6 linked regions of the Kluyveromyces lactis genome follow. The protein of the gene in region 1 interacts with the protein of each later gene in a pairwise test. Links are inferred from orthologs where the notes say so. Each region holds a gene or a part of one and is shown in the gene's direction. Other genes may lie near its edges. The genes, in order: ENP1, NOP1, UTP21, NOP14, UTP22 and IMP4.

Evidence for each region.
Region 2: the proteins of ENP1 (region 1) and NOP1 interact in binary tests that used the Saccharomyces cerevisiae proteins (3 or more experiments, as listed by UniProt). The link is inferred for Kluyveromyces lactis from reciprocal best matches to the Saccharomyces cerevisiae genes ENP1 and NOP1.
Region 3: the proteins of ENP1 (region 1) and UTP21 interact in binary tests that used the Saccharomyces cerevisiae proteins (3 or more experiments, as listed by UniProt). The link is inferred for Kluyveromyces lactis from reciprocal best matches to the Saccharomyces cerevisiae genes ENP1 and UTP21.
Region 4: the proteins of ENP1 (region 1) and NOP14 interact in binary tests that used the Saccharomyces cerevisiae proteins (3 or more experiments, as listed by UniProt). The link is inferred for Kluyveromyces lactis from reciprocal best matches to the Saccharomyces cerevisiae genes ENP1 and NOP14.
Region 5: the proteins of ENP1 (region 1) and UTP22 interact in binary tests that used the Saccharomyces cerevisiae proteins (3 or more experiments, as listed by UniProt). The link is inferred for Kluyveromyces lactis from reciprocal best matches to the Saccharomyces cerevisiae genes ENP1 and UTP22.
Region 6: the proteins of ENP1 (region 1) and IMP4 interact in binary tests that used the Saccharomyces cerevisiae proteins (3 or more experiments, as listed by UniProt). The link is inferred for Kluyveromyces lactis from reciprocal best matches to the Saccharomyces cerevisiae genes ENP1 and IMP4.

Annotation. Positions count from the first base shown.
Region 1 is NC_006042.1:636,897-641,390, forward strand, and holds ENP1 (snoRNA-binding rRNA-processing protein ENP1), read left to right. Parts: upstream 1-1,714; coding exon 1,715-3,151; downstream 3,152-4,494. Other genes in the region: SRM1 (Ran guanyl-nucleotide exchange factor), read right to left, coding at 1-1,047; SNAP receptor USE1, read right to left, coding at 3,365-4,147. UniProt on the Saccharomyces cerevisiae protein: Required for normal export of the pre-40S particles from the nucleus to the cytoplasm.
Region 2 is NC_006039.1:399,286-403,712, forward strand, and holds NOP1 (rRNA methyltransferase NOP1), read left to right. Parts: upstream 1-2,135; coding exon 2,136-3,143; downstream 3,144-4,427. Other genes in the region: serine/threonine protein kinase CDC7, read left to right, coding at 1-41; trans-2-enoyl-CoA reductase (NADPH) TSC13, read right to left, coding at 346-1,305; SUMO-targeted ubiquitin ligase complex subunit SLX5, read left to right, coding at 3,972-4,427.
Region 3 is NC_006038.1:251,729-257,246, forward strand, and holds the start of UTP21 (rRNA-processing protein UTP21), read left to right. Parts: upstream 1-2,718; coding exon 2,719-5,518. Other genes in the region: inositol polyphosphate kinase VIP1, read right to left, coding at 1-2,176. UniProt on the Saccharomyces cerevisiae protein: Involved in nucleolar processing of pre-18S ribosomal RNA and ribosome assembly.
Region 4 is NC_006039.1:1,426,171-1,431,800, forward strand, and holds NOP14 (snoRNA-binding rRNA-processing protein NOP14), read left to right. Parts: upstream 1-1,580; coding exon 1,581-4,094; downstream 4,095-5,630. Other genes in the region: proteasome regulatory particle lid subunit RPN5, read right to left, coding at 1-1,024; autophagy protein ATG9, read right to left, coding at 4,136-5,630. UniProt on the Saccharomyces cerevisiae protein: Involved in nucleolar processing of pre-18S ribosomal RNA. Has a role in the nuclear export of 40S pre-ribosomal subunit to the cytoplasm.
Region 5 is NC_006040.1:1,246,086-1,251,624, forward strand, and holds the start of UTP22 (rRNA-processing protein UTP22), read left to right. Parts: upstream 1-1,905; coding exon 1,906-5,539. Other genes in the region: KLLA0_D14762g (uncharacterized protein), read right to left, coding at 660-1,064. UniProt on the Saccharomyces cerevisiae protein: Involved in nucleolar processing of pre-18S ribosomal RNA and ribosome assembly.
Region 6 is NC_006041.1:700,278-704,471, reverse strand, and holds IMP4 (snoRNA-binding rRNA-processing protein IMP4), read left to right. Parts: upstream 1-2,427; coding exon 2,428-3,279; downstream 3,280-4,194. Other genes in the region: MKS1 (Mks1p), read left to right, coding at 1-1,986; KLLA0_E07811g (uncharacterized protein), read right to left, coding at 3,846-4,194. UniProt on the Saccharomyces cerevisiae protein: Required for the early cleavages at sites A0, A1 and A2 during 18S ribosomal pre-RNA processing.

The DNA of each region.
Region 1 (4,494 bases):
TAAATCACCAGATTTCGCCAATATTAGAGTGTGATGTTCTCCAGCAGAAACAGAATCGATTTCAACTCCTTCTGGCAAAATGACCTCAGTAGGAACACTTACCAAGGACCCATCTTCTAATTCTGTAGATATACCACATTGCCCGAATTGATTAAGACCCCACGAGTACAGTTTACCGTCCGTGGAAAGGGCAAATGAATGATTTTCACCCGATGAAATATACTTTATGTTATCCAACCCAAATGGTCTTGGATCTAAAGTTCTCAAACGAGAACGTTCCAAAATTCTTCTACCTAATTGTTGCTGTTGACCATTACCCCAGGCGTAAACAATACCAGTTTCATCCAAGAACAATATATGATCTTTCCCAGCAGCCATTTGAACAATCTTGGCTTTCTTGGAGAAGTTAGGGATTATCCAAGGGGTTTTCTGGACGGTAATCTCATCTCTGTAGAAACCTAAAATACCTTCGTTACAACGGAAGGTACCCCAAGCGTAAACGTCACCATTTTCAAATAGAGCAGCAGATAGATTGTCTGTGGCAGCAATCTGTACACATCTTAATTCGTCCAATGGTAAAGAGTCTCTAGGAATTTTAGTTGGAGTGGATTCAATTTCGTTGAGGTCACCATCTTCATCATCATCACTATCATTTGCATCCATATCTTTCAATTTTTCTACAGCTCCGCTAGTGTCTCTACCCAAAGCACCTGAGTCGTTAGTCCCCCACGACCAGATGTTATTGTCAGCGTCTAGCGCTAGGGTGTGCATTCCACCTGCAGCAAAAGACACAATTTTAGCCTCATCACGGGGCAAAAGGGGATTGAGTCTAGGTCTCTTAACTTCTTTGTTTTTAGCTAGAGGACCCAAGCCTAGTTCACACATTGATCCAGTTCCCCATACAAAAATGTCAAGTGGAACAACAGATCTATACAAATGTTTATAATCATCTTGAGAATTGATGCTAACAAACTTATGATTCAAAGTAGAGTGTAAATGCTTCCTTTTAACTGGAGTGTTCGCTACACTAGAAGATCTTTTAGACATGATTTCTTCAGTAACTGGTGGTCAATTAAAAGATTAATTGGAAGGGCCTAGTCTAATGTTAATTGTAACTTTGCTAAGATTGCAAGGAACGAAAAAAACGGAAATGAACACTTGGTTTTTGATCAATCGATAAGTACAACTCAAGGGAGAAGCTTGAGTGAACAAGAGACCAGCAATGTGTCACCACGCATATGAGATCACATTACACTTGATCCATTGTTAATTATATATACGTAAAACGAATCTAAGCTGCAGTTGAAAAATCTTTCCAGATTTTAAAGTCACGTGCAAAACAAACAACATTCTTTGCCTGTAATCATTAGAAGAACATAGCTCTTGGCTGTTTACAGTAGCTTGAATTTGTGTTCAACGCTGTGGCATATCTGTTTCAATCACGACGATCCCGCTGCCAATGCTCCAGAGTTATTTAATTGAACCTTTGACTTCTCTAAACAGAGTATCTCTAGCCTTTCTTTTTCTGTCCGTGCATTGACTGAAAATTTTTGGGATTTGAATAAGTAACGATGAGATGAGAAGCGATGAGATGAGATGAGATGAGATGAGATGAGGTAAATGGCAGATAACAATCACAAAATTACTCATTAGTGTCTGCTTTAGTGCTCAGAATACGACTAGTGATACAAGATTTATTTGTTCTACGGAGAAAATGGGTAAAGTAATGGGTGGCAGCGGTCGTAAACAGAGACACGATCCTTTATTGAACGATCTTGACTCTCAACATGGTAAGTTGAAAAGACAAGGTAAGAAAAAGATCGATGCTAAGGATCAAAAAGGCCATGAAGATGAAGAATTTGTCGATGCCCAGCAATCTAGAAAAATTTTGCAATTAGCTAGGGAACAGCAGGAAGAATTAGAGGAAGAGGACGAGCAGTCTCTGCAGACATCCAGCCAAGGAATAAACAGATTCTGTGTGGCCAACTATGCGGATGAAGATGATGTAGCTGAGGAAGAGGAAGCTCAAGGTAATAACATATCTGACTTTGAACCGGAAGATGAAGACGATTTCGAAGGATACGAGGAGGAAGAAGTGGTAGAAATTGACGAAGAAGATGCTGAAATGTTTGACCAATATTTCAAGACTTCTGCTGATTTCAACTCTGCCAATGGATCATATAACCTTGCCGATAAGATTATGGCTTCTATTAGAGAAAAAGAGATGGAACTACAGTATAATGAAGAAGAAGCAGGTGATGCCTCTGCAGTAGCGGAACCAGCTGCACCTGTAGATCGTACAGAAGGTGTCGCCTTACCACCCAAGGTGATTCAAGCATACCTTGCCGTTGGTACCATTATGCAGACCTGGAGACATGGTAAACTACCCAAACTATTCAAAGTTTTGCCTTCTCTAAATAACTGGCAAGATGTTCTCTATGTTACTAATCCAGAGGAATGGTCTCCGCATGCTATATACGAAGGTACTAAACTTTTTGTTTCTAACTTATCATCTAAAGAGGCCCAAAAATTCGTTATAGCTGTGTTGTTACCACGCTTCAGAGAAGAAATTGAATTTAACGAAGATCACAACTTAAATTACCATGTCTACCGTGCATTAAAGAAATCATTGTATAAACCGGCTGCCTTTTTCAAAGGGTTCTTATTCCCACTTGTGGAATCCGGTTGTAATGTTAGAGAAGCTACCATTGCTGCAAGTGTGTTATCCAAGGTCTCTGTGCCAGCTCTTCATTCTGCTGCAGCATTGTCCTACCTTTTAAGATTACCTTTTTCCCCAGCCACCACCGTTTTCATCAAAATTCTACTCGAGAAGAAGTATGCTTTGCCTTATCAAACTGTTGACGAATGTGTCTTCTACTTCATGAGATTCAGAGAAGTCACTGATGGAAGTACAGGCCAAGATGCCGTCAGAGTCTTACCTGTGGTATGGCATAAAGCTTTCTTAGCGTTTGCTCAACGTTATAAGAATGATATTACCCAAGATCAAAGAGATTTCCTACTTGAAACTGTTCGTCAAAGAGGTCACAAAGAAATTGGACCTGAAATCAGAAGAGAATTATTAGCCGGTGATAGTAGAGAATTTGTCAGTGATGTTGGTAATAAAGCTGATTTAATGTTTGATGTTCTGTAGTCAATAGTCCTATAACAATATAAGTGCCTGTCAATTTTAAACAAGTGTATAATATGCAATTATAGATAAGACAATCAATAGAATCAATCTATTCGATAAGTGGAAACGGTATCAATTAATTTCATCGAATATTCATGAGTCTATTTTGTACTTTGAAGCTTTTGAGTGAAGCAGAGCCTTTATCTAAATCTTGGAGATTTTAGCGGAAGACACTCATAAATCTGGAAATACTTTTATTACAAGATAGGTGACCAATAGACCAATTATAATAAACGATAAAAGTCCTAACTTCATTAAAAATCCAATTTTTTCATTGTGATACTTTTTCAATCTGGATCCGAGTGAAGAAAGGCTCTTAGAAGTAACATGCAATCCGATTTCTGCTGCCTTAAGAACAGTAGAGTCGTGTTCGATAGCATTCTGGAAAGCTTCCGCACCTTGTCTTAAGCCTGAAACTAGCTGGGACATGTCTTCAACCAGTTCCTTCTGAAGATCATCCTGAATTTGCATTTGTTTGTCAAATGATTCACCCTCCGTATCAGCGCTGTCCCTTCTTTTACCCATAAGCCTTTGGCGGAGCTCCTTCAAAGAATCGTTGTCATTAATTGCTTCAACATTGGATATTATATCAACATCGTCCTCATCTCCTATAGGCACGTCGGGCGTTGCATCGAAATCAACACTATATCGCCTTTTCTTTTGAGATTCCTGATATGCATCATATTTCTGTTGCAACTTAGAAGCTTTGGAGAAACTGATAGAGCTAACCGATTCCTCTAGTCTGCTAAAGTTTTTCTGGTATCTATCAATAGCATCAGAAGACGGATCATCCAAGTTATCCTTTATAGCCAGTTTTCTCACGGTATTTAAGTTTGTGGCCAGTTTTGTAGATATAAGATAATGGTAAAAAGGGTCTTCGTCATCTTGAAAGAGCGAAAGGTCCCTGTAATAATTTTTGCGTAGTTGATCACTTAATGTGTCTAAATCTGTCGTCATATTCCGTCAGTTAATGTCCTTTAACGAGGCGCTATCCCTTTTTATTTGTGATTGGAATTGTACTAAGTATTATTTTAAAGGCTATATTACATTTTGTTTTATGTCACTAAAATATTATCCCAAACCTCAATCAAAGAAATAACAGAGCTGTCTGAATGAAAGTCATTCACTCTGAAGCATGACCCTTGCCAACCCTTACAAAAGCGCATGTAAGAAAGAGTGGACCGAGTGCTACTTAATGTATCTACCGATGGTAAGTATAACATAAGGCTGAACTTGGTTAACTATTGCTAAATCTTATTGATATACAAATTCATACGACTCTCATAATATTTCAGAGGAAACTA
Region 2 (4,427 bases), on another chromosome or scaffold:
ATCAAAGAAGAGAAGATCACTTCACCGGGGTCGTTGAGTAATGAAATCCAGAACGAAACAAAAATATTTGACGAAAATTAGCATATATTCACCGCAATAACTTAGAGCAGAACTCATTTTTTATATACATGCATTCATATATAGAGTTCTTTAACCGATAGAGTAATTTAATACTTTGCATTCATCATCATTATTATATTTAGTTTACAAACGTTGCCAACGCTTTGACGGCATAAGTTAGAGAACAAGTGCGTAAATAAACGAGTAAAACAGCGTTATTCACTTAAGAGAGAATGCTATAATACCCCAAGTCAAATATGTATGTGGTGATAGTAATTGGTGAATTCAGAACAAGAATGGGATCAAGAATGCTCTCTTGGTACCATATTTCTTGTTTTTCTTTTGAGCCCACAAGTACATCTGAACCACCGAGACAACAAGGAAAAGAACTGAGAATAAGTTCAACTTGAACAACAAAGTGAAAAACATCCAAGCCCAAGATTCAAAAGTGTAATTTGGAGCGACAAGTAGTTTGAACAACCCAGAATTCAATGGGACTCTCTTCGTGACACCGTTTCTCTTTTGTTCATCACCCCATCTACGCAATGCGACATGGATATAGAAATTGAACATCTCTGACAATCCAAACAAAGCGGTTAAGACTCTGAAATCAGATATCTTGAGAGCGCTGTAAACTCTGTATAAGGTCTTGTTAGCGAATGGGAACCCGTAACCAAAGTAACCCAACGAGATCAACCCGTTCAAGATCCAGTAATGGAAAGAGTTCTTGAACAAATTGAACAATGGCATGGTTTCCAGGGAGAAAGAATGAATGAACAATGTTTCGAATTCTCTCTTTAGATAATGGACCATAATCAGACGGTAGATGAACTTATTGAAGAAATCGTTATATGGAACATTTTTAGAATGAAATTTGTCCCTAACTGTTGCGTTTAAAGACAAAAGGTAAACTAAAGAATGGATCAAGATCGGACCCAAATATTCGATGAAAAACACCAGTCTCCAAGAGATCTGCGGACCCAAATCCTTAACATACCACTCGTTAACTGAATCGAACGTGTTTTTCTTACCAACATCGTTCAATTCAGAGGGCCCAATGGCGACTTGCTTACCTTCTTTCAGATAGCTTAACCTTAACCTGTTAACGCTAATATTGTGATTGCTTTTCGAAATCTGTTGCAAAACAGATTGATATGTCAACGTATTTTCTGTTGGAACTTCCAACTTGACGTCTTTTAAGCTCTTTGAGCGTGATTTAATAAAAATTGAACTGGATGCAGACATAAAGGGACACTTATCTAGGTAATATCTTCAACTGTCGGATTAAAATATACAGCGATAGTTTGGAAAATAGGATCTCAAAACTAAACCAGAAAATTTATCCAGATATACTAATTCAGATTCTGATTGCTATAACGTACAAAAGTCAAAGCTGGTTCCACTTCTCTGATTTTTTATCTGCTTTTATAAAGATACCGATATTCACAACAACAACCAAAAATGATCTCATCTGCATATTTTCGCAATGTTGACTATGAAAAACTTGTATAGAAATCCTTAGTAAACGTACGCATTGTAGCAAGTATCTGGCTCAACATAGCAAAAAAAAATCTTGAAAAGTTGTAGATTCATATGATTATATAATCAATTCATATCACGTGATACAGATGTGACAATAGTCATGTGACTTTAACGTTCATCGTTCTGTACGTACCAAGAGGCACAGAAAGACCAAAGATGAGAACTTTGAAAAAGAAATTTAATATTGTTTTTTCATTCAAAATTTTTCAGCTGAAAAAAAAAAGTTTCGAAAGCTCATCTCATCGAATGTAAAGTAAGAGTTTATTAAGTTGTTCTTGCTTGAAAGAAGTAATCAATTGTTTATAGAATAGTATTGTGTACGTTTTCTGTTCCTATAATCTACCCATTTTAGAAGAGTTTTACAGCCGTCCAGGATTCTGTTTCAAAGTCAACGACAATACCTGTTACTGATTCACAATTTTAATTCTTTTTTTTTCCTTTGTCCAATTTAGAGAGAAGAAGATCAAGAGCAGCAACAGCAGCATAATCATTATATCTCAAGACAGATAATTCCCAACTAGTTAAGAATAATAATGGCATTCCAAGCAGGTTCTAGAGGTGGCAGAGGCGGTTCCCGTGGTGGATTCGGCGGTGGTTCCAGAGGTGGTTCCAGAGGTGGATTTGGCGGTGGCCGTGGTGGATTCGGTGGTTCCCGTGGTGGTTCCAGAGGTGGATTCGGTGGTGGTCGTGGTGGTCCTCGTGGTGGCGCTCGCGGTGGTTCCAGAGGTGGATTTGGTGGTGCCCGTGGTGGTTCCAGAGGTGGTCCTCGTGGTGGTGCTCGTGGTGGTGCTCGTGGTGGTGCCCGTGGTGGTGCTAAGGTTGTTATCGAACCTCATAAGCATGCTGGTGTTTTTATTGCCAGAGGTAAAGAAGATCTTTTGGTCACAAAGAACATCGCTCCAGGTGAATCTGTGTACGGTGAAAAGAGAGTTTCAGTTGAAGAACCTTCCACTGAAGAAGGTGTCCCACCAACTAAGGTGGAATACCGTGTTTGGAATCCTTTCAGATCCAAATTGGCTGCCGGTATCATGGGTGGTTTGGATGAACTATTCATTGCTCCAGGTAAGAAGGTTCTATATCTAGGTGCTGCTTCCGGTACATCTGTGTCCCACGTTTCCGATGTCGTTGGTCCAGAAGGGTTGGTTTACGCTGTTGAGTTCTCTCACAGACCAGGTAGAGAATTGATCTCTATGGCTAAGAAGAGACCAAATGTTATCCCAATTATTGAAGATGCTAGACATCCACAAAAATACAGAATGCTTATCGGTATGGTTGACGCCGTCTTCGCAGATGTTGCTCAACCTGATCAAGCCCGTATTATTGCTTTGAACTCTCATATGTTCTTGAAGGATCAAGGTGGTGTCGTTATCTCTATCAAGGCTAACTGTATCGATTCTACTGTTGATGCTGAAACTGTGTTCGCTAGAGAAGTTCAAAAATTGAGAGAAGAAAAGATTAAGCCTTTGGAACAATTGACTTTGGAACCTTATGAAAGAGACCATTGTATCGTTATCGGTAAATACATGAGAAGTGGATTATAAGAGCTGCTAAAGAAATATTGATATTTTGAAACCAATGCTAGAGTATGCCTACTTGGTTCATGATTCCTTCTATTAATCTTTTTTTTTTGGCTTCTAATCTTTTTTTGCTTACTTTTTAGTTTTAAAAACCTTCATTCCAATACAATCATTAACACTATAATATTATTTGAAATTTTGCATCTCATTGATTCGTGATAAAGTTCTACAAACTAGAAAAGTCTCCACTTCGTCTTCACTTGTATTTTGTCACTCTGTGTGTTTCTTTTACTTACAGTCCAGGTCCTTCGCCTGTTCAAAGGAGATCGACTAACTGACGGGAAAAGAATAGAAGAAGATTTCAAAACCTTGTTCATCAACTTGACAATACAAAAGAACCCATTTTCACAATAACGGTATTAATACTCGAACACTCTTAACCTTATTTTGTACATTTAATTTGTAGATATATTATTATTATTATCACATACTATATATAACTTATATATATCAATAACAACCATACGTTCTAGAAAATCATGTCTGGTAGCAGTGAATTAAAGGATATAACCCCATACGGGTTACGATACCATAATACGGTCCATCTGTGCATCTGTTGACAAACTCTTTGTTTCTTTTATCTTTAATCGACATCAAATTGAGACAAAAGTAAAGAAAAGTTCTTGAAATTAATAATTATGATATTTAAGACAACAGTGGTTTTGATATTAAGAGTAAACCTTTGAAATAAGCTAAAAGTATACAAAGGTATCGGAAGAGTTCAGAGCCAGATCCTTAAAATAGGTATCTGGTACAGCTGGAACAGTAATTAGTAAGGTAGAAAGCCTTGTGATGACGGAGCAAGGGTGTGTTATAGAGATCGATAGTGATCCAGAGCTAGATGCTCAAATCAGGGAAGAATATGCACCAAGGCGATTGATTCCAGATCGCAGAAGGAATAGACCCAGAGACCATTTGTCAAGATTTGTTTCCAACGCAGAGGATAGAAATGTGGCTCCTATCGCTCCTGCTACAGATTTGCCAGTGTCAACAGATGGTGAAGATTTGGAGATAACTGCAGAGGTTTCCTTGCGACCTGATGGGCCAATAAATGATGATGCAGAGTACATCAATCTGGACAACTACAGGGCTTCCAACAATGGTACTGTGGTTGTGGATCATAGAGAAGGGGATGATGATTTAATGCTTGTAGAAGAGCGTATCCAGGAATCTGGTAGACCCGTACTTTTGCAACTCCCGGCAGGTCAAACGTTACAGGTCGATGCTTCCTGGAATGAACTTCCGGTG
Region 3 (5,518 bases), on another chromosome or scaffold:
TATCCATAAGGTCTTTAGCTGCATTGGAGTCATCTAGCAAGTCTTTTCTTATACTGATCTCGTCGCTACTAATTTCATCCGCACCGAATAGAGCTGTGGCCCATATTTGGGCCGAAACTAGAACCCTCCTTTCGGAAGAAGAAAATATCTTGATGTTGTGCAAGATGTTCTTGTTTAACAAATCAAAGTCTTGTCTCATCTGCTCACCTAATTCTTCAGCTTGGAAATGAGCGGAGTGTGTTGGCTCACCACCCCATTTGAGAATGAATTGAACCTTCTCCACTTCGTTGTCTTTGTTCAGAACTGGTTTTAATTGAATCTTAGTTCCAGGAAAACTGATTTTTTTTTCCAAAGCGTTTGCTAAGACAGCAAGTTTCGCTGGATCTTCAGCATTTTCCTCTTGTGCAATTTTGAGTGCTTGCAGAACAATTTGCAAGTCATTGATATTTCTTATGACTACTTCTTCTTTGTGACCTTTCAATAAAGACAAAAATATCGGAGAGGTAAACGAGTGCTTGAGTTTCTGTTTTGGTGTACGGTCTGCATGACGGATAACAGTAACTAGCCCCTTAAATACCCATTTTTGAGTTTTCTCCTCTTGAATTGCAGGAAGGTTCCGCTTTTCTAGGTCCATCAATTTTTTGGCGTTGTAGAAGGTATCTCTCAAAATTTTGGCACAGGCATCATAGTATTCTGTGTTATCTTTGACAAATGAAAACCCATTAACATCAATGACATAACTCTTGCCCTCAACACGTAATAAATCGAAACCACAGATCATTTGAGCGAACGTCTTCGACACTTGACGAGCCATTTCTTTTTCTTCTGGAGAAAGTTCAGTAATATATCTAATTTCCTTTCCGTGAGTGTTTCTGCGCACAATACCATCGACTACAGGGGATTTTCTGGTTTCAGCATGACAAAAAGTTTCACCTACAGTGTATGCTTTCACATCTTCGAAATTATCGGTATCCATGAATTTTTCGTAGATGTATGAACCTTCAGTACGAGGTTGAATCAAAGTAGGGTCAAATTCGGAAGATTTATTACCGACCTTTCTGAATAATCTACGCCCACCGCCTCCGTTTTTCGAATGATAATAGATGTATATATTGTGATCTTCACCATCCACAGGTTTTTCAACGAATGGTTTGGTCATCACCTTACCCTCAACTTCCAAGGTGTCATCGTCCACCATTCTCCAGTTGGGTTCTTGAACAGTTGAAACAATAACTCCACGTTCGGCAAGCATAGATTTCAGTTCATCATCAATTTTGGGACCACCATCTCTTGTAATTTCCAATCTAGGAGGGGTAGGTACGTTGCTTGCCGCCAGCAACCTGAGACACAACCTTCTATCCCACAATACTTTTTGCATAATCAAATCATTAATGATATATGGTTTTCTTAACTTGACATATTTGATAGCCTTTTCTAGAGGGAACCCATTGGAAAAGAATGATATTAGAAAGTCGCAAGTAGGCCAGTTTTCAATGCTTTCATCCAATATAACTTTATCGCCAAAAATTATAGTCTCAAACTCACCGTGTTCAATTAGTCTGTTTAAGATATGTCTGCATGGCTTGGATAACACTTTCGCATCCATGGCACAAACACCAATTTTACCAATCTTTGGTAGCTGAGGCTTGGACGAGGAAGTTGAAGCTTTCCTCGAAGAATTTGTCGAACTTGGAGTTGTTGATCCGTCAGTGTTGGTTGTGACAGCTTCATTAGAGACTAATGCTTGCGGAATGAAGGGGAATGCATGAGGTTCTTCCAGCATAGGAGATGGACTAGGCGATCCTTCCAGAATAGCAGAAACTGATGCTGATCCACTTTGGTTACTTTTCAGTCTTTGAAGCTTGTTACCATTCATGCTATCGAATGAGGTGCCTAGGACACTGGGAGTCATATGACGACCTGTCGAACCAGTAGAAGAAATACTAAGCGTTCTGACGAGCTTATTTGTCTCATCATCATCATCAGAGGTAAAACCAGCAGGTGGCAACTTCAACGACTTATTCTCACTAGAAGAGGTCTTCGGCGTGAACCCTTCAAGGATAGGAGCGATCGATTCCATAGCCTTTTTCGTATTCGAATCTAAAAACAGTGGAGGCATGGTATTTCCGTTGATTGCCTCTTGACCCTCATCAGAAATTGAACCTGGAGAAGACATGACTGGCAGTTCTGCAATTTGATTATAACCAATGCTGAAACTTCAGTTAAAATTATTTTGTAGATCGTTGCAATTAATCGATTTCTGTTATAAGCGGATGCATGGTACGATTATTCCCCATGTGTTTAATTTTGTATATAAATTTATATGTGAAGGATAATAGTGAAAACTTGATAGAAAACTGTGAGTAATTCTGAAGTAAAGACCAGTATCTAAGCAACACCTCCATGTGTTTCGCTAGTGAGATTTCAGACTGTGGTATGGTTACTATCTAATGGCATCTAATGGTGAAGTTACATAGTATCTTCTCTATCCAAGTCTAAGAATCACATTTGCAGGTTGATCCCCCTTATGTGTCACGTGATATTCTGATTTCTTTTTCTGTTTCAGCGATGAAAATTTCGAAGCTCGACGTTTTAAAGAAGCGATGAGATGAGATGAGATGAGATAGATACCTATCGTCAGCAGCTAATTACTGGATTCGCTTGTTGTTCAGTTAATTAAGCGATTGCATAAAGTCACAGAACAGTGCATTAGCAATCATGACAGTGGATGGATCGTTAAAGAAACGAAGAGTTGGTTCTTCCGGCGCTGTTAGGAAACATGCTTCCAGAATATTTTCTCCGTATAGAATTGTAGGTAATGTATCTACTGGAGTTCCTTATGCGATTGGTACCCTAGGTACGACCTTCTACATTGTGACTTCTGTTGGTAAGTCGTTTCAGATCTTTGATGCCAATAATTTGCATCTGCTATTCGTTTCAGATAAGGAGACAGAGGGAGACATTACTTGTTTGGCAGCGCATTTTCATTACGTTTATGCAAGTTTTAAGAATAAAGTTGGGATCTATAAGAGAGGTAAGCTAGAACATTTGATTGAATTACCTGATCCAAATACCGTGGTGACCAAAATTAACGTTTTCGGTGAATATTTGATTGCTTCTACAGATAATAATGTTGTTTATATCTATAAGAAAAATTCCCCATCTGATAAATTCGCTACTGAATTATACACCAATTTCACCATTGGTAAGTTACAAGGTGGTGATATTGTTGATTTGGTGCATTTACCAACATATGTTAACAAGTTGCTCGTTGTGACTAAGTCTAATTTCACCTTGTTTAACGTTCGGACCGGAAAACAATTGTACACTTCCGATGAGTTCCCCGATGAGATCACCACTGCTGAACCTGCACCTGCTTTAGACATCGTTGCCTTTGGTACATCATCTGGTGAAGTTATTTTATTCAATTTGCGTAAGGGTAAGAAAATCAGAACCATTAAAACGCCGACGAGAATTTCTTCAATCTCTTTCAGAACGGATGGTGCTTCTCATATCTCAGTAGCATCAACCAGTGGTGATTTGATCTTTTATGACTTAGATCATCGCTCACGTGTTCAAGTGTTAAAAGGCATTCACAAGGAAGTGAATGGTGGTGTTGCAAGAGCATCATTCTTGAACGGTCAGCCGATCGTTGTCACTTGTGGTGGTGACAACCAGTTAAAAGAGTTTGTTTTCGATCCATCCTTATCGCAAGGTGACTCTGAAGTGGTCATTCAACCAGCCAGATTATTAAGGTCAAGAGGTGGTCACTCTCAACCTCCATCCTCTATTGCATTTGCTGACGATCAATCTCATTTCATTCTTTCTGCTTCAAAAGATAGATCTTTATGGGGGTTTTCCTTAAGAAAAGATGCACAATCGCAGGAATTATCGCAGCGTCTGCATAAGAATAAAGATGGAAATAGGATTGGTGGAAGCACCATTGGTGAGAAGTTCCCTGAGATTACATCAATAGTCATCGAAAATAACAGACAAGGCCAATGGGAAAACATCTTGACGGTTCATAAAGGGGAAAAGTTTGCAAGAACATGGAACTCGAGAACAAAAAGAGTTGGTAGGTGGACAATCCCAACTAATGATGAGGGGTTTGCGAAGAGCGTAGCTATATCACAATGTGGTAACTTTGGTTTAGTTGGCTCTTCAAACGGTGGTATTAGTGTTCACAACTTACAAAGTGGACAGAAGAGAAAGGTTTATCGTTTACATAAGAAGGCAGTTACTGGTATTGCAATGGATGGTATGAACAGAAAGATGGTGTCATGTGGGTTAGATGGTATTGTCGGATTTTATGACTTTTCCAAAAGCACTTTTTTGGGAAAGTTAAAGTTGGATTCACCTATAACATCAATGGTATACCATCGATCATCTGACCTCTTCGCATTAGCATTAGATGACCTTTCCATTGTTGTCGTAGATTCGGTTACTCAAAAAGTGGTCCGTCAACTCTGGGGGCATTCCAATAGAATTTCATCATTTGACTTCTCACCTGATGGACGTTGGATCGTTTCTTCGTCATTAGATTCCACAATTAGAACCTGGGATTTACCAACAGGTGGATGTATAGACGGTATGAAAGTGGAAAATGTCATCACTAACATTAAATTCTCACCAAATGGTGACTTATTGGCTACCACTAGTGTATCTGGTAATGGTATTTCCCTCTGGGCTAATAGAGCTCAGTTCATTTCAGTATCAACCAGACAGATCGACGAAGAAGAATTTGCCACTGTTATGCTTCCAAACGTTTCCGGAGATGGTGGTTCCAACTTTTTGGAAGGGGCTTTTGATACAGAGGAAGATGATTCCGAAGATCTCTTTGGTAAATATGACTCGATGGAGCAAATTGATAAAGATTTATTGACTCTTTCTTTGGGACCAAGGAACAAGATGAATATCTTACTCAATCTCGATATAATTAAACAACGTTCGAAACCAAAGGAGGCTCCAGTTAAACCAGAGCAGGCTCCATTCTTCTTACAACTTGCAAAAGATAAGGTGGGCGATGAGGCTTCAGCCAGGGAAGGCGCTGAGAATTTGAGTTTGGATTCCTCTAAACTACAACAGGAGCGAAATGCTGCCAAAGCTAATGCTGCTAGTGAACTGAATAAATTCAAACCTTCAGGAAAACTTGGTGCTCAGTTCGAATCTGATTTCACTAAGCTACTTAGAGAAGGTTCGCAGAAAAACGATTATTCAGCATTCCTTGACGAATTAGTCCAGATGACTCCCTCAAATATTGATTTGGAGATTCGTTCTTTGAAAGCTTTTCAACCATTTGATGAGCTATGTCGGTTCATTGAAAGTTTGGCTCAAGGTTTGGCTACCAACAAGAACTTTGAGTTATATGAGGCATATATTACCATCTTATTCAGAGTGCATGGTGATGTAATTCATTCTAATAACACAAATCAAAATATCAAGACTGCTCTGCAACATTGGGATACCAATCACCGCAAGGGCCAATCATTGGATGAATTGGTAAAATTCTGCGGCAGCG
Region 4 (5,630 bases), on another chromosome or scaffold:
TGATTCTCTTATGAAGATCTTCCCAGTGTGATTCATTAGACCCGAATGCAACGCCGTCCTGGTTCAAAATTTCTTTGTAGGTATCTTGTACTATTGGCCATCTCATTAGTTCTGCTGTGGTGAAGAGTTTTACCAAGGATTCTTGGGATGGCAATTTCTTTAGATTGTTGTCCAACTGAACCTTGTGAATGAGATCATTTTGTAGGTTATCATATGGCGATAGAATCAAGAAGTATACAACCCTGGATAGAGCTGCCTTCCATTGAATTTCATCTGCCTTCACAGAATCAGAGTTGTAGATTTCTTGGTAGTACTGAGCCACTTCTAAGTAATCTTTCTTATGCAAGCCAATCTTTACCAAAAGGTTATAATACTCTAATTTCAATGCTGCATACTTTTCATTCTTGAAAGTCTTCTTTAATATTTTTCTGGACAACACAGTGGCTTGAGAGTAATCACCTTTTAGGATACTTAATTCCATTTGTTCAAGGATAAATTCAATCTTTTCATACATCTCCATGGACCCATACGTTTCCACTTGCAATTCACATAACAAGTCAGTGGCCTCATCGATCTTGTTCTCAGATCTTCTGATATGAACCAAATCTCTAGTGACTCTAGCTCTTTCAACTTCCACGAAAATCTTGTTCTCAGTCACGGTTCTTATCGTCTCAATAGTTTTAATCTTGGTGTCCAAATCCTTCAGGTCTTCCAAATATTTCATCACAGACTGAATCATATACTGCACAGATAACTTCAATTGACCATGCTTTTTTGATAGAAGCATGATTTGGTCGTTAAGTAGGTCCCATTGGTCTGCTGCGACCAAAACATCTACGATCTTAGTCAAGACTCTTTTCGAAGATGCTAAATCAGAAGATTGTCTAGTCTTCTTTTCCAACACTAACAATTGATCCAAAGCACTGGAATAATCATTCTTGGCCAAAATCTCAAGCTTAGGAAATTCAGCGTCCAAGATTTCGGTATAATCTTTCTCTGCCTTAATTGGAGCGTCTCTGGACATATTTTACGATATAATTTATACTCTTTTCTCTTTGCTCTGCCTGCTCAACTTAAACCGAAATGCAATACAATCAATTTCTCTGTATCCGTCCTGTATTCAAACCACACAAACTTACAGTCTCAGAACCGACACTGTAACCTGCTGTACCTCTGTTCGCGGTTATTTCGTATATATTTGCCACCTGTAACTGATTTCCTTTATTTCTCATAATGCCTTTAAAATGACAAGCTACGGTAAAAGCTTCCTCAGTAACAGTAACAATCGAATCTTAGAAAAACGTGACTTCATCATCGTTCGTAATGATTGTGCTGGATATTCGGGTAACCTTGATTTGATTTTATTGTGCGGGTAACTATTTTCTTTCTTTTCGGTGAAAAAGCATTAAAAGTTTGACAGAAGATGAATTGAGCGATGAGATGAGATGAGATGGGATTAAATCAAAGGCTGTCAGAAGGTTCAGTATCTTGGCCGATTGTATTGAATTGACTTGCATCATCAGTTGTGTTTAGACCATTCTTCTTGTCTGTGGGCAAATAGGTTACAAAGTCGAATAATAATGGGTGGTTCACAGTTGAAGAACTTGAAGGCCGCTTTAAAGGCTAATGGGTTGACTGGTCAGACCAATGTCAAGAAGAGTTCTAAGAAGAAGGGCAAATCTCCCAGGGAGTTTGATAGAGAAGAAAGACAGAAGACTATTGAAAGAATTAGGGAACAGTTTAATCCGTTTGATGTGAAAACAAATCGTAATAAAAAGGTTGGTGTGATGAGGGAATCTGCAGCTAAACTTGCAGTAGGTAAGCCGGGAATCACTAAACAAGCCGGTGAAGATCAACGTAAAATGTTCTACGAAGCCAAGAAGTCCAGCAAGAACAGAAGCGGTGGTGTCTTAGATAAACGTTTTGGTGAAAAGGATAAGAATTTGACTTCCGAGGAGATCATGTTGGAACGTTTCACAAAGGAAAGACAACGTCAATCTTCGACGAAAAGATCGTTATTCAATTTAGACGATAGCGATGGTGGTGAGGATGAAAACGTGTACGGTGAAAAGTTGACTCATTATGGTAAGTCTCTTTCCTTGGAAGATGATTTCGATGAAGGTGATTTGGGGTTACAGCATTCTGATTCGGAGGACTTCAGGTTGAAACAAGCTGGTAAAAGAAATATGGCGGATCAATACGGAGATGAAGGGTTAGGTGATGACGCTTTGCAAGAGCCAGCAAGAAAGAAGACTAAGGCAGAAGTCATGCAAGAGGTCATTGCTAAATCCAAATTTTACAAACATGAAAGACAAAAGGCGCAGGAGAAATTGGTCCAAGATATCGAAGGCCTTGATGACGATTTCGAAAGCATTATGTCTGAATTAAGGACGTTACCAAAGACTAAACCTTCTCAAACTGAGATTTCGACCTCCACAGACATCGCTCCAGATTATGATATCAAGGTGAAAGAGTTAGTCTTGGAGAAAAGAGCTGCCCCTGCAGATAGAACTAAAACAGATGAAGAGATTAAGAAAGAATATGAGGACAAACAAAAGGAATTGGAGCAGAAAAGGCTTGATCGTATGAACGGTATTTTCAACATTGAAGATCAAAAAGATGCTGGTGTTGAAGATTTGGGAGAAGAGTTTTGGGAAGATAGCGACTCTGAGGAGGGCGAATATGGTGAATATATCAAAGCAATTCCTGACTCGGATGACGACGTTGATTTCGAGAAGGATAACAATGATGACAATGAATACGACGCTACATCAAATGGTAGACCTTCAGCAAGAGTTATACCTTCTGTTCCATGTCCTCAAATTCACGATGACTTACTAAATTTCTTGAAATCTTATCCTATCGAAGAGCATCCATCTTTAGTTAAAAGAATAGTAAAAACATACCAACCAAAATTGGCTGAGGGAAACAAAGAAAAATTGGGCAAATTCACTGCTGTTTTGCTCAGACATATACTTTTCTTGGCTGAAGAAGATTACTCGGTTAATGTGAAAGAAATTGCATCATTACAAAACGAACTAGTAAGCATTCTAAAGACTCTTTCAGAAAAGTTTACCATTCCACTATCAGAGGATTGTAGAAATATCATCTCAGATATTCAGACTAGATTCAAAGAATCCCAGTTCTATGGACTATCTCCATCAGATTTGGTATTTTTCTCTGTTGTTGGTATGTTGTTCTCCACTTCGGATCACTATCATTTAGTCATTACTCCCTGTCTGCTTCTAATTGCAGAGTTTTTGGAACAAATTAGGTTCAATTCTCTTCAAAAATTAATATTTGGTTCGATACTGGTTAGAATCGCCATCCAGTATCAACGTATAAGCAAGCGTTATATTCCTGAGTTAACATACTTCTTGCAGACATCTTTGCGTTCTCTAATACCGAGTACCAAAGGGGAAACATTAGAAAACAAAGAAAAACAGGAGGACAATTTATCAATAGTAGGCTCGGATATTAACTGGTCCAAGGTCGCCCCTTCTTTAGAATTACACTCATTATTTTCCGAGGATCTAGAAAAGCAAGAATCTATCAAACTGTCCGTGCTGGTCAACAATCTAGAATCAATTGATTGGTGCATAACGAACATCTGGAAAGATCTTACTGCCTTCCCAGAAATCATTAATCCCTTCAAAGACATACTAAACGTGGCTGCCGAAGTATATCCTGGTACTTCTAAACCAAAACAATTAGTGGAAAAGATCGAAAAGCTATTGAAATTCCAAGAACGTCTGCCATTGACGTTGCAACAGCATAAACCACTGGCGATTCCATCAAATACGCCTAAATTCGAAGAGAACTTCAACCCAGATAAGAAGTCGTATGATCCAGATAAGACCAGAAGTGAGTTGAACAAGATGAAGGCGCAATTGAAGAAGGAACGTAAGTTCACTATGAAAGAAATACGTAAAGACACTAGATTCGAGGCAAGACAAGGCATTGAAGAAAAGAAGAAGGAGTACGCCGATTACCATTCCAAGATGGCACGTATTGTCAATCAAATCAGTACTGAAGAAGGTGCTGAGAAAAACAAATATGAGCGTGAAAAGAAGCTCCGTAATACCAAACGTTAACTGCATATTATATAATCTATACTCAACATTAATAAACTTTATCATCGATTGCGATCTGATTTTTTGTAATATTGGTTTAATAGGCCCATAACACCATTTCCCGCCTTCAGTTCGTCAGCATTATCAGCAATATCATCCTTAAAAAGGGTAGATTTGTTGATAAGTGAACCACTCAATGAGCCTAATTCAAGGTCCGAACTACGATCCGGGAATCTCTTCACCCTTGATCGATTAAGATTTCTCTTACGATTGGAGTTTTTACCTAAGGCAAATTGTGTCTTCCAGGAATAGTCTTTAGTAGAGCTGTATGGGTGATAAGATGGCTCGATTGGAGAAGCTGGTAGCTGATTTTTGCCCACTGCATTGCCTGCATTCTTGTAATCGTCAACGAAGTACATATATGACTGAAGCATTTTGTTAACACCCTCATCCGATTCGGTTTCACTATCATCCTGTTCTGCTTGGGAAAACATTCTCTTAGTTTGTTTTTTGGCCTTGGTACCTTTGTCAATTTTAGTAGCTTCAAACATTGCGTACTTACACACGTATCCCAACCCCTCCTCATAGACGGTACATTCTCTAAAAAAATCTATTATTCTTTCTGAATTCTTTGGCAGGGAGAACCATAATATGAAGGGAGTGATTATAATGCTGACTAGTTCCCTTAGTAATAATGTGATTCTCAAGTTGTAAAGCCTACAAAACTCATTTTTGATGTCCTCTGTATGATATTTCCCCTTCCATTCCTTTGGAGCGTAGTGTGTATACGACACAAGTTCCTCCAGTGTTTCCTCTGGTTTGAGAACCGTATACTCATCGTTGATAGAACTGTGACAAACTGCCCATAAAGTACCAAAAACAGTCATGTAAAATAAAACAGTTCTGTCAGGTGTAATTTCGAAGTTTAAGAAATTGTCTGGATCAAATATTGTCAGAATACCCAAGATTGCCACAAAAGAACCGGAAACAAACTGTATAAAGCTTAAGGTCAAGCTTAATAATGTATTGGGAAATTGATTGACATAATTGTCCGCTATTATCATGCTCAATCTCATTCTTTTTTGGAAAATATGATATAATTCATTGTATTCCCTAAATTTCCATTCAGCAATAGGAGTATATTGCCGAGAACCTATTGATCCTGGGGAGGTTTTGTACTCATTAAAATATCTGAAGAAGTTCAATAGAACAAAGTATGTTACTAAGAATGGGGATAAGATAATGTTCAAGAATCCAGCAAGAACAAACCTCTTCTTTAACTCCTCTCCCAGGTATTCTCTCTGGCTTTCTCTTAAGAAAGCTTGCTTTAAATAGCCCTTCTCATTGAATGCAAAACCTAAAATACAAAGATTTATGTTCCATTCGAGCGTCTTGGTAAGAGCACATGTTCTTAGTAGAGGTACTGGTAGGGATAAGTCAAGAATATTGTTATCATATAGTGCAATGACAAAATTCTCTTTGCGCATAATTCGATTAGCCACGTCATGCGCACTCAACCTGTTTTTTGCTTTGACTTCGGTAGCATTTGCTGTGATC
Region 5 (5,539 bases), on another chromosome or scaffold:
GACTTTTTGTGCCTATTAGTACCATTGGAATCCTTGTTCCAATTGGTTCTGGAATTTCTTGGGTTTTCTTCCCTTATCTTCTTCGCTTAGATTCGCACGTTTTGACTTTACAGAGTTTCTAGATTCAAGACTCACCAAACTCAGTGCTGATGGTATGTCTAGTTTATTGTTTTTAGACAGTTCTTGGTTTACCATATATGATCTATCTGCAATAGCTTCCACTGTCATTTCAGTTAAACACTGTAACAGTGAATCTATATCACGGTATTTCTCACGTACATGGAATTTGTGATACATCTTAGTACGTTCTAACCATAATGTTTGTAGGTTTGGTGAAGTCTTATCTTTTTGCAGGTGCCTGACAGCTTCTTTCCATATGTCTATATTTTTATTCAACCTATCATAATCATTTAATAGATTGTATACTGCACTTTCAGGATTAAATCCCATGCCATAAGGTGCCATTTGAACCCATTCTGGACAGCATTCCTTCGGGACACATTCTTCCCAGAAGAAAACAATTGAATTTGATAATTCGTCGTTGTCAATTATATTTATGGACCAGTCATTGCTTTTGTTCGGGATAAAACTCTCTAGTCCCGCTAGTCTCAATTGTCCAATTAAACAGTAAACCCATCTGTTAAATTGGTCCTTTGACTTCACTTGTTGTAGATGAACAGACGTCTTGTCTTGGAACCTGGAAAAGTCATCAAAGCTTTATATTCGCTGTCACACGAGTTGTTATTCTTCTTGGAATAACTAAACAACAGACTGCTTCGATATCTGTATTCCCTATCAAACACTTCGTAAGTACTTCCTCCAAATATCTCTCTCTCGGGATCTAAGTCTGAGTATGGGTTAACATTTTTATCCTCTTTTAAACTCTGTTTAGGAGCACTACCATCACTAACGATATCGAGTCTTTGTATATCTTCACAGATACCTCTTGTCGGATCATTACTTCCTTGCGGAGACTCAGTGACGCTGCCATGTAGGTGATCCTGGTTGTCGCAGTCACAGTCACGTGTAATTAATTCAAAACCTTCGGTATCAGATGAATCCATAGTGTTTACTAGCTATATATAGCTAGTGTGTTGATGCACCTGGCGATCTGTCATGACTGTGTTGATGGTCTTTCCCCAGATCTATGGCCTCTTTATATAATAACTCAGATTGGTTAATGATGTTTCATGTTGATACTTGACCGTCTATTGTTTCTAATCCGTCTCAACAGATAACCCGCCGAATGATCTAAAAAATCTGTAAAATTTGTAATAGATTTCGTGCCTCCTTAGCTTAGTGGTAGAGCGTTGCACTTGTAATGCAAAGGTCGCTAGTTCAATTCTGGCAGGTGGCATTCATCTTTTTCAATATCCAATCTGACCTTCCTCGAATCTATTTTTTTTTTCTTAAAGTAACATTGTGCACTAAAACTAGCAATACGGTACGTCTAAAACCATGTATTCCCTATATTACTACATATCGGGATAGTACCAGTTCCAGCACTTGAGTTGGACTTGGCTTTAGTCCAGTATGACTCTATGTATCTGACTATCTAACTGATTATTCAGAGAGACTGAGATTGGACACGTCGTATAAAGTGACAGACGCATCAAAATCCTTCACATCGAATTTTGGAAAAATTTGCCAGGCGATGAGCTTTAAAGGTTTAAAGAATTCGCATTTACATAGAATGAACGTACCCATAGGCAGGTTTATCACAGTGATTTTGTTTGGATTTCCCTCGTATTAGTTTGCTAGATATTAAAAGGGTAATTCTCTTCTGTTTTGGCTAGGGGAAATTGAAACCCTAGGACTCGGGCACTGGCTATCATTCTGTATTATAATCAATCCAGAGGCGCAAACGGTCAGGAACTAGTGAATTAAGTGGATATTTAGTGAACTATGGCCTCTGTGAAACGTGTAGCACCAGATGGTGAGAAGTCCAGGAATGGTAGTTTCACCAAGAAGGCGCTTGTAAAAGCTATTACTGGCTCACAGGCTGAAAATGACAGTGACAAGACTGGTTCTTCTTCTTCTGGAGAAGAAGAAGAAGAAAGAGAGGAAGAGGCTACTGCCTCTTCCAGCGGGGAAGAAGACGAGGAAGAGGAAAACACACATGACCATAAGGCTAAGAAGCCAAAGTTGAGCTCCCAGGATATACAAATAGCGAGAGAAACGGCTGAACTCTTCAAATCGAACATTTTCAAATTACAAATCGATGAGTTATTGGAACAAGTGAAGTTGAAGGACTCACACATCGTAAGGGTGGAGAAGTTTTTGCATAAACTATATGATATGATACAGGAAGTACCGGAATGGACTCCGCAAAGCTTAGAAGATGTAGAGAAATATTTCCATGGGAAAGTGGTATCAGTTCCGTTTGTGGATCCAAAACCACAAGCGAAGAACACACAGTACAAATTCAATTATTTAAAGCCGGACGTGAGTTTAATTGGATCATTCGGGTTGAAGACTGCCATCTACCAACCTCAGGGCTCCGCAGTAGACGTTTTGTTGACTATGCCTGAGCAGTTGTTCGAAAAGAAAGATTTCTTGAATTTTAGATGTTTCCACAAGCGTTCAGTATACCTCGCGTATTTGACTCATCATATCTCACTCGTCCTGAAAAGAAGCCAGCTGGATTTCTTACACTTGGAATATTCATACTTTAACAACGATCCTTTACAAACGGTATTAAAGATAAGTTGTAAGGAGAAAACTTCATCGGACTATAATTTCTACAAGACTAAATTCAGCATAAACTTGATCGTGGGGTTCCCATACAATTTCTTCGAATCAAAGAAGTTGCTACCCAATAAGAACTGTATCAGAGTCGGTCAGGATAACGAAACTCCGACACCTTTCTACAATTTCTCGGTATTATCATCTTCTTGTCACGAACACTATTTGAAGTACTTACACAAATCAAAGAAACAAACAGAACAGTTTAAACAGGCTTGTATTTTGGGGAAGCTATGGTTATCTCAGAGAGGCTTCTCATCAAATATGTCTCATTCAGATGCGTTGGGTGGTTTTGGAAATTTCGAGTTTGCCACGTTGATGGCAGCCCTACTAAATGGTGGTGGGTTGAATGGTAACAGAATTTTATTGCATGGGTTCTCATCTTACCAATTATTCAAAGGTGTAATCAAATATTTGGCCACAATGGATCTTTGTACTGATGGGTACTTACAATTCTATTCCGACTATAGCACTACTGCAACTGTCACTTCCTCAAAATACGTTGAAGAAGGTTTCCAAACACCTACAATCTTTGATAAAACCACCAAAGTTAACATACTGAGTAAAATGTCTGTTAACAGCTATCAAATGCTAAAGATCTACGCGCAAGAAAGTTTATTGATGTTGAATGACGTCGTCAGAGATCAGTTCGAAAACATGTTCTTAACTAACTTAAACAAGATCAAGACAGTGAAATATGATGCTTACTATGATTTAGATATCCCATCCATCAATTTACTACTGTCCAAGTTCGGTCCCGTTGAAAAGATTAGCTTTATATCATTCGAAAATTTCATCTGCAATAAAGTATCGAACATCGTGAAGATTGCCCTTGAGGATAGAATCAAAGCTTTTGAAGTGGCTCTAGTTAACAATAGATCTACTTTCCCAGTAACAAAGAGAAAAGTTGCTGCTGTTCCAAATTTCACTTCAATCCAAATTAAACTGTTGATCAACCCTGCAGAATGTGAGAAGCTTGTGACTAAGGGCCCAGAGAACACAGAAGAATTAACTAATGAAGCTAATGAATTCAAGATTTTTTGGGGTAAAAAAGCATCTCTTCGTAGATTCAAGGACGGTTCCATTGCAAACTGCTGTGTCTGGTCAACTTCTGCTATTGAAAGTGTTGTTTCTTCGATTTTGTCCTATGTTCTAAGGCTACATTTGACTGAAGACTGCAAACTCATCAATAATTCCACTAGCCAATTCCAACAGTTGTTACCACTACCGAACCTACCTGCATCTTCAAAGACATCAGTTCTAAACCTATCAAGCTACTATAACTTGAAGAAGTCCTTTGACGATTTGTATAAAATCATGTTCGAGCTAAAACTCCCATTATCAATTAAATCTCTTTTACCTATTGGTTCTGCATTCAGGTACACATCATTATGTCAGCCTGTCCCATACGCATATTCTAATCCTGATTTCTTACAAGACGTTGTTATCGAATTCGAAACGTCTACAAAATGGCCTGACGAAATTACTTCGTTGGAAAAGGCTAAAGCTGCATTTTTATTGAAGATTCAAGAATCCATCACGCAGACTCATAGTGAGTACAAGTGCTACTTTACACGTGATGAATCGATTCCATACAACTTGGAAATAGTTACTCTAAACATTTTGACTCCAGAAGGATACGGTTTCAAGTTTAGAGTTCTAACTGAGAGAGACGAAGTTATGTATTTGAGAGCAATTAACAACGCAAGAAAAGAACTAAGACCAGAGCTGGAAAAGACATTCTTGAAATTTACTGCCAAGTACCAAGCTGCTATTAGACATACTAGAACTTTGGAAAACATTTCCCATAGTTACCCATTCTACTCTCCAGTGGTAAGACTATTTAAGAAATGGCTAGATTCTCATCTCTTATATGGCCATTTGTCAGAAGAATTGATTGAGCTTATTGCCATTAAGCCATTTGTAGAGCCACGTCCATTCACCATGCCAGGTTCCGTTGAAAATGGTTTCTTGAAGATCTTATTATTCCTCGCAAACTGGAATTGGAGGGAGGATCCACTAATATTAGATCTTGTCAAACCAGACGAATTTGGTGACCAAGAAACCAGTATCGGAGCATCAGATCTAGATTCATCTGTTTTAAAGAGACTCTCAGAAAAGTTGACTTTTGCACAATTCAAAACCATTCAAAATAACTTCCAACAACTAAGAAAGGAAGACCCACAAGGTTTACACACCCAATTCTTCGTTGCATCCAAGAACGATCCAAGTGGAATCTTGTACTCTACTGGAGTTCCTCTACCGATTGCCACCAGATTAACTGCTTTGGCAAAAGTAGCCATCAATCTAATCCAATCCCATGGATTGAACAAACAAACCATCGAATTACTATTCACACCTGCATTAAAGGATTACGATTTCGTCATCAAGCTCAAGATTCCTGTCCCATTGAAACTATCCAGTGGCATAGTCAACGCTAACGAGTTTAAGAATTTAAACGAACAGTTGACAGAATTCCCCAAAGATCTTGATACAATGAGCACCAAAATGGATCCAACTTACCAACTAGTGAAATACTTGAACATGAAGTACAAAAACAGTATTATATTCTCCAATCATCGCCACATTGGTGTCACTGGTGGTAAAAATGGTGATAAAAACGTCATTACTGGATTAATCAAACCTATATTCAAGAAACCACTAAAATTTAAAGTCAACATGGACTGTAACGTCAAGCCAATTGATAAAGATCTAGTAGAACTTAACAAAGATGCCATTTTCCACGAAATAGGTGCGTTCTGCCAGGAATTGATTGTTGGCTTCGAAGCTAACA
Region 6 (4,194 bases), on another chromosome or scaffold:
AGGATTTCAATACGCAGGCGAGAAATGGATCCCAAGATGCTTAACTGTACCGATAAAAATCGGTTCCAGATGCTACACGCGAGTAGTGATGTAGAACATGAACAAAATCATACGTTTTTGAAAGTGAGTCCCGCTCTTTTCACGCAGGATAAACTGCCGTTGTTCGATTCTTTAGACTTATACACTTCGTTGATCAAATGTAGCAAATTCATGGAGCAAGGAGAACGGCTGCATAACCTTAGTTGGAGGATCATTAATAAGTCGTTGTTGAAAGATCAGAATATCAACAAGTCAAAGAGACGGGATGGTGTACGGAACCTATATCACGTTATTAATCCTATAAAGCAAACGCACTTATTCCCACAACTGCAGCAACAGCTGCAGAAACCAAAAGCTGTGACACCGGCGTCACCAAAGACTCCAACTACAATGGTAACTGCAGCTTCCACCTCGGCGACATCGTCCGGTTCATCATCTGCGCTGTTGACACCAATCTCTAGTGGGGCCTCGATACCGAAATCGACTGCTAATACGCATATTACGTCAACAAGACCTCATATCTCAATTTCGAAGAAACTGATATCACCTGTGTGTTCTTCACCTGAACCTCTACCGACGAAAATGGAGGTTCCATCAAGGTCCCAGGCAAACACCCCTGATCTACGGAAAGATTTGGCAAAGAAGAAATTCGCTATTTCTCCTGAATTGGTCAATGTACCGAAGAACCATCAACAACAATTACCTTTACCACCATCATCATCAGAACCCCCGGTGTCAAATCATGTGCCTTTATCGGAAACAAAGTCAAATGCTCACTCACAGACTTCTTTGTTCAGTAGAAACCCATCTAGTAAATCATTATTTGCGAAAAATCAACCTACTCCATTCACCCCGGCCAATGGATCTACTAATTCATCTGCCAATGGATCTGCTGAAAACCTCAAATCAAATGAGATGAATCATTCCTCGAGAACGTCATCAGTTGCCAACAATATCGCTCATACATCTAGTAATGGCACCAAATCTGGAACGTCTGGTACTATAAGTAATGCAGCGCATGTGCATGCCGGACAAGATCACAAGAATATGTTCTTTAGTAGTGAGGACGAAGAATCTGATTGGGACTCTCTTTCAGATGATAGTGAGATATACGATGAAGAAGAAGATAATGATCAATATTATGAAAACCAATGGGATAAGCTGATGTTCTCAAAGACACACCAAAACAATAATGTTCATCAAGTGCCTTCAAAAGAATCCGGAGAGAAGAAAAGTTTGTTGTCTGGTCTATTCATGCAAGAGAAACAAACCAAGTCACAAGTTGATCCAGAGGATAAAGCATACACTACAACCAATGAGGATTTGCTCAAAAGACCACTATATGTTTCTGAAGCAACATCTTCAGCAAAGGCTGTTGAGAAACCTGTCTTAAAGTCTTTGGATAAACAATCGGAAAAGCCTCTGAGAAAGAAGACCGATCAAAATTGCATATTACATCAGAATCCAACAGGAATTCAAATACCGCCTCAACCTGTTGCTCCAGAAACTACGGAAATAGTTGCTGTGGGCTCTGTGACACCATCAAGTTCGTGGCAGAACAAACCTCTTTTGGATCATCAAAAGCCAATTCCTGTCGCATTTGAGCGTTCCAGAAGACTCGGCTCTTTTAGTAGTATCGTAAGCGATACTACTAGAGAACGGTATTATCATGAATCGAATGCACCTCCGGCTGCTCAGACCATTTTACCTACTGCTCTTTCTACCCATATGTTTTTGCCTAATAACGTCCACCAACAAAGGATGGCATTACGTGGAGGAAGTCTTCAATCAGATTTTGATACTGAAATAGCCAAAAAGGTAGCATCGAGACGTGAATCGATGGATATCCCTTCCAAAAACAGAAACAATTTCTTCCTCAAGACTAGAATGGAAATCTCAGAAGAAGAAAGCTTCGCTAGAGCATATGGCAGATGTGTCAAGAAGTGAAGGTAATTTCCTTCATTTACTAAACATCATCCACGACAAATATTAATTACCTTTGATAGACTGTATAAAACCTCGTTTAATGACAACCAAGTAATTCTTTAATATGTCACCAATTACAGTGTCTGTTGTATGTAACCGATGTTACGATAATGCGTTTCTTAGCGTATTTGGCTTTATGGATTTGTATAAAGGTTTTGTCACGTGACCATTTGGTATTATTCTAATAATTATTTCTTTTTGAGGCTGAAATTTTTACATGAACGATGCGATGAGATGAGACGTTAGAGCTGAAGAACAACTTAGCTGGTTGGACATTTTTGTTTACGACGGACTAGTATCGTGTATATACGTACTGTAGTCACTATAAACAGGCATTATTATAGTATATTATCAGCTATTCGCTTTTTTGGTACTATACAAGCAACACATTATTGAAGTACGATGTTAAGAAGGCAAGCTCGTGAAAGAAGAGAATACTTGTACCGTAAAGCACAAGAGCTACAAGAATCTCAACTACAACAAAAGCGCCAAATCATAAAGCAAGCGTTAGCACAGGGGAAACCACTACCAAAGGAAATTGCTGAAGATGAGCAACTACAGAAAGATTTTCAATACGATGAAAGTGCTCAGGAACAGATAGATGATGAGTACAGCGCAACAAGCGGTATCGCAGAACCTAAGATTATTGTGACAACATCTAGAGACCCTAGTACTAGGTTATCACAGTTTGCAAAAGAAATCAAATTACTGTTCCCAACAGCGGTAAGATTAAACAGAGGTAATTACATTATGCCGAATCTTGTCGATGCCTGTCAAACATCAGGAACGTCAGATTTGGTTGTTCTTCATGAACATAGAGGTGTTCCTACATCACTAACGGTATCACATTTCCCACATGGTCCAACAGCATTTTTCACATTACACAACGTCGTTTTAAGACATGACATTTTAAATTCGGGGAATCAAAGTGAAGTAAATCCACATCTAATCTTCGATAATTTCACAACACCATTGGGTAAGAGAGTAGAGACGATTTTAAAGCACCTATTCCCACCTGGTCCAAAGAAAGATGCAGCAAGGGTGATAACGTTTGCAAACAGAGGAGATTTTATCAGCGTTAGGCAACATGTTTATGTGAAAACCAGAGAAGGTGTGGAGTTAGCAGAAGTGGGACCTAGGTTCGAGATGAGATTGTTCGAATTAAAATTAGGAACATTAGAAAATAAAGATGCTGACGTAGAATGGCAACTAAGAAGATTTGTTAGAACGGCTAGTAGAAAGGACTATTTATAATTATAGTAAGCATAATAAGACAATTCCATCATAATGTCCATAAAATCAAGCAAAGTATAACATTTTTGCTAGTGGAAAGAATTCTATCAAACGTATTTCGTTTTAACGACGGAAAGGGTATGTTGTTTGAGGAGATACAGGAAAATTAAACACAATTACATGATATTAGCAAACCCTGGAGCATGAAGCAACTGCGTTTCAGTCACTGTATTTATAGATAGGATAAAAAGAATCAGAAAGAGAAAAAGAAAACACCCGTAAGTAAATTAACATAAAAGAATAACAACCTTCTCATTTCGATATAAATAAAAATAGAATGTTAATTCAAAATAGAGTTATAACGATTGACTGTACCGAGGAGACGGTAAGGGAAAGAGTTGCTGAACGAGAGAAAAAATAAGGGAAGGGGAAGAAGATGTATCAAAGAAGAGACGGAAAAAATAAATGACCCGTTCTTGGCCAGAAAATTCAAGTGATTGCTTGAAAACAGATAAACGTAGCAATTTCCTTCTATTTAAAAGCGCGCTGAATGGCTCATGGATCATCCTTATTCTTTCTTTTTAATGTTAGATTTCGTTAGTCAACTTTTTCTTCACCACTTCGCTTGCCGTATTGGATTGAAGTTGCTCATCATAAAAAACATCATCCAGTATATGGGTATTCGCGCTTGACACGGAGCTTCTACTGAAGTTATTCGCGTACGGTGAAACTCCACTAGCATTGGAGTACGCTCTTGTCTTGTACGCTGGAGGAGAGAATTTTTTGTTAAAACCAGATCCCTGAGTAGAAGTACGTGATAAACGAAGTCCTTGAGGATTTACTGGTGGGGTGTTCAGTGTACCTGCACTAGATACATCATGATCTAAACCACGATGCTGTGTATTTCTGTTGTTGTTGTTGTTGTTGTTGTTGTTG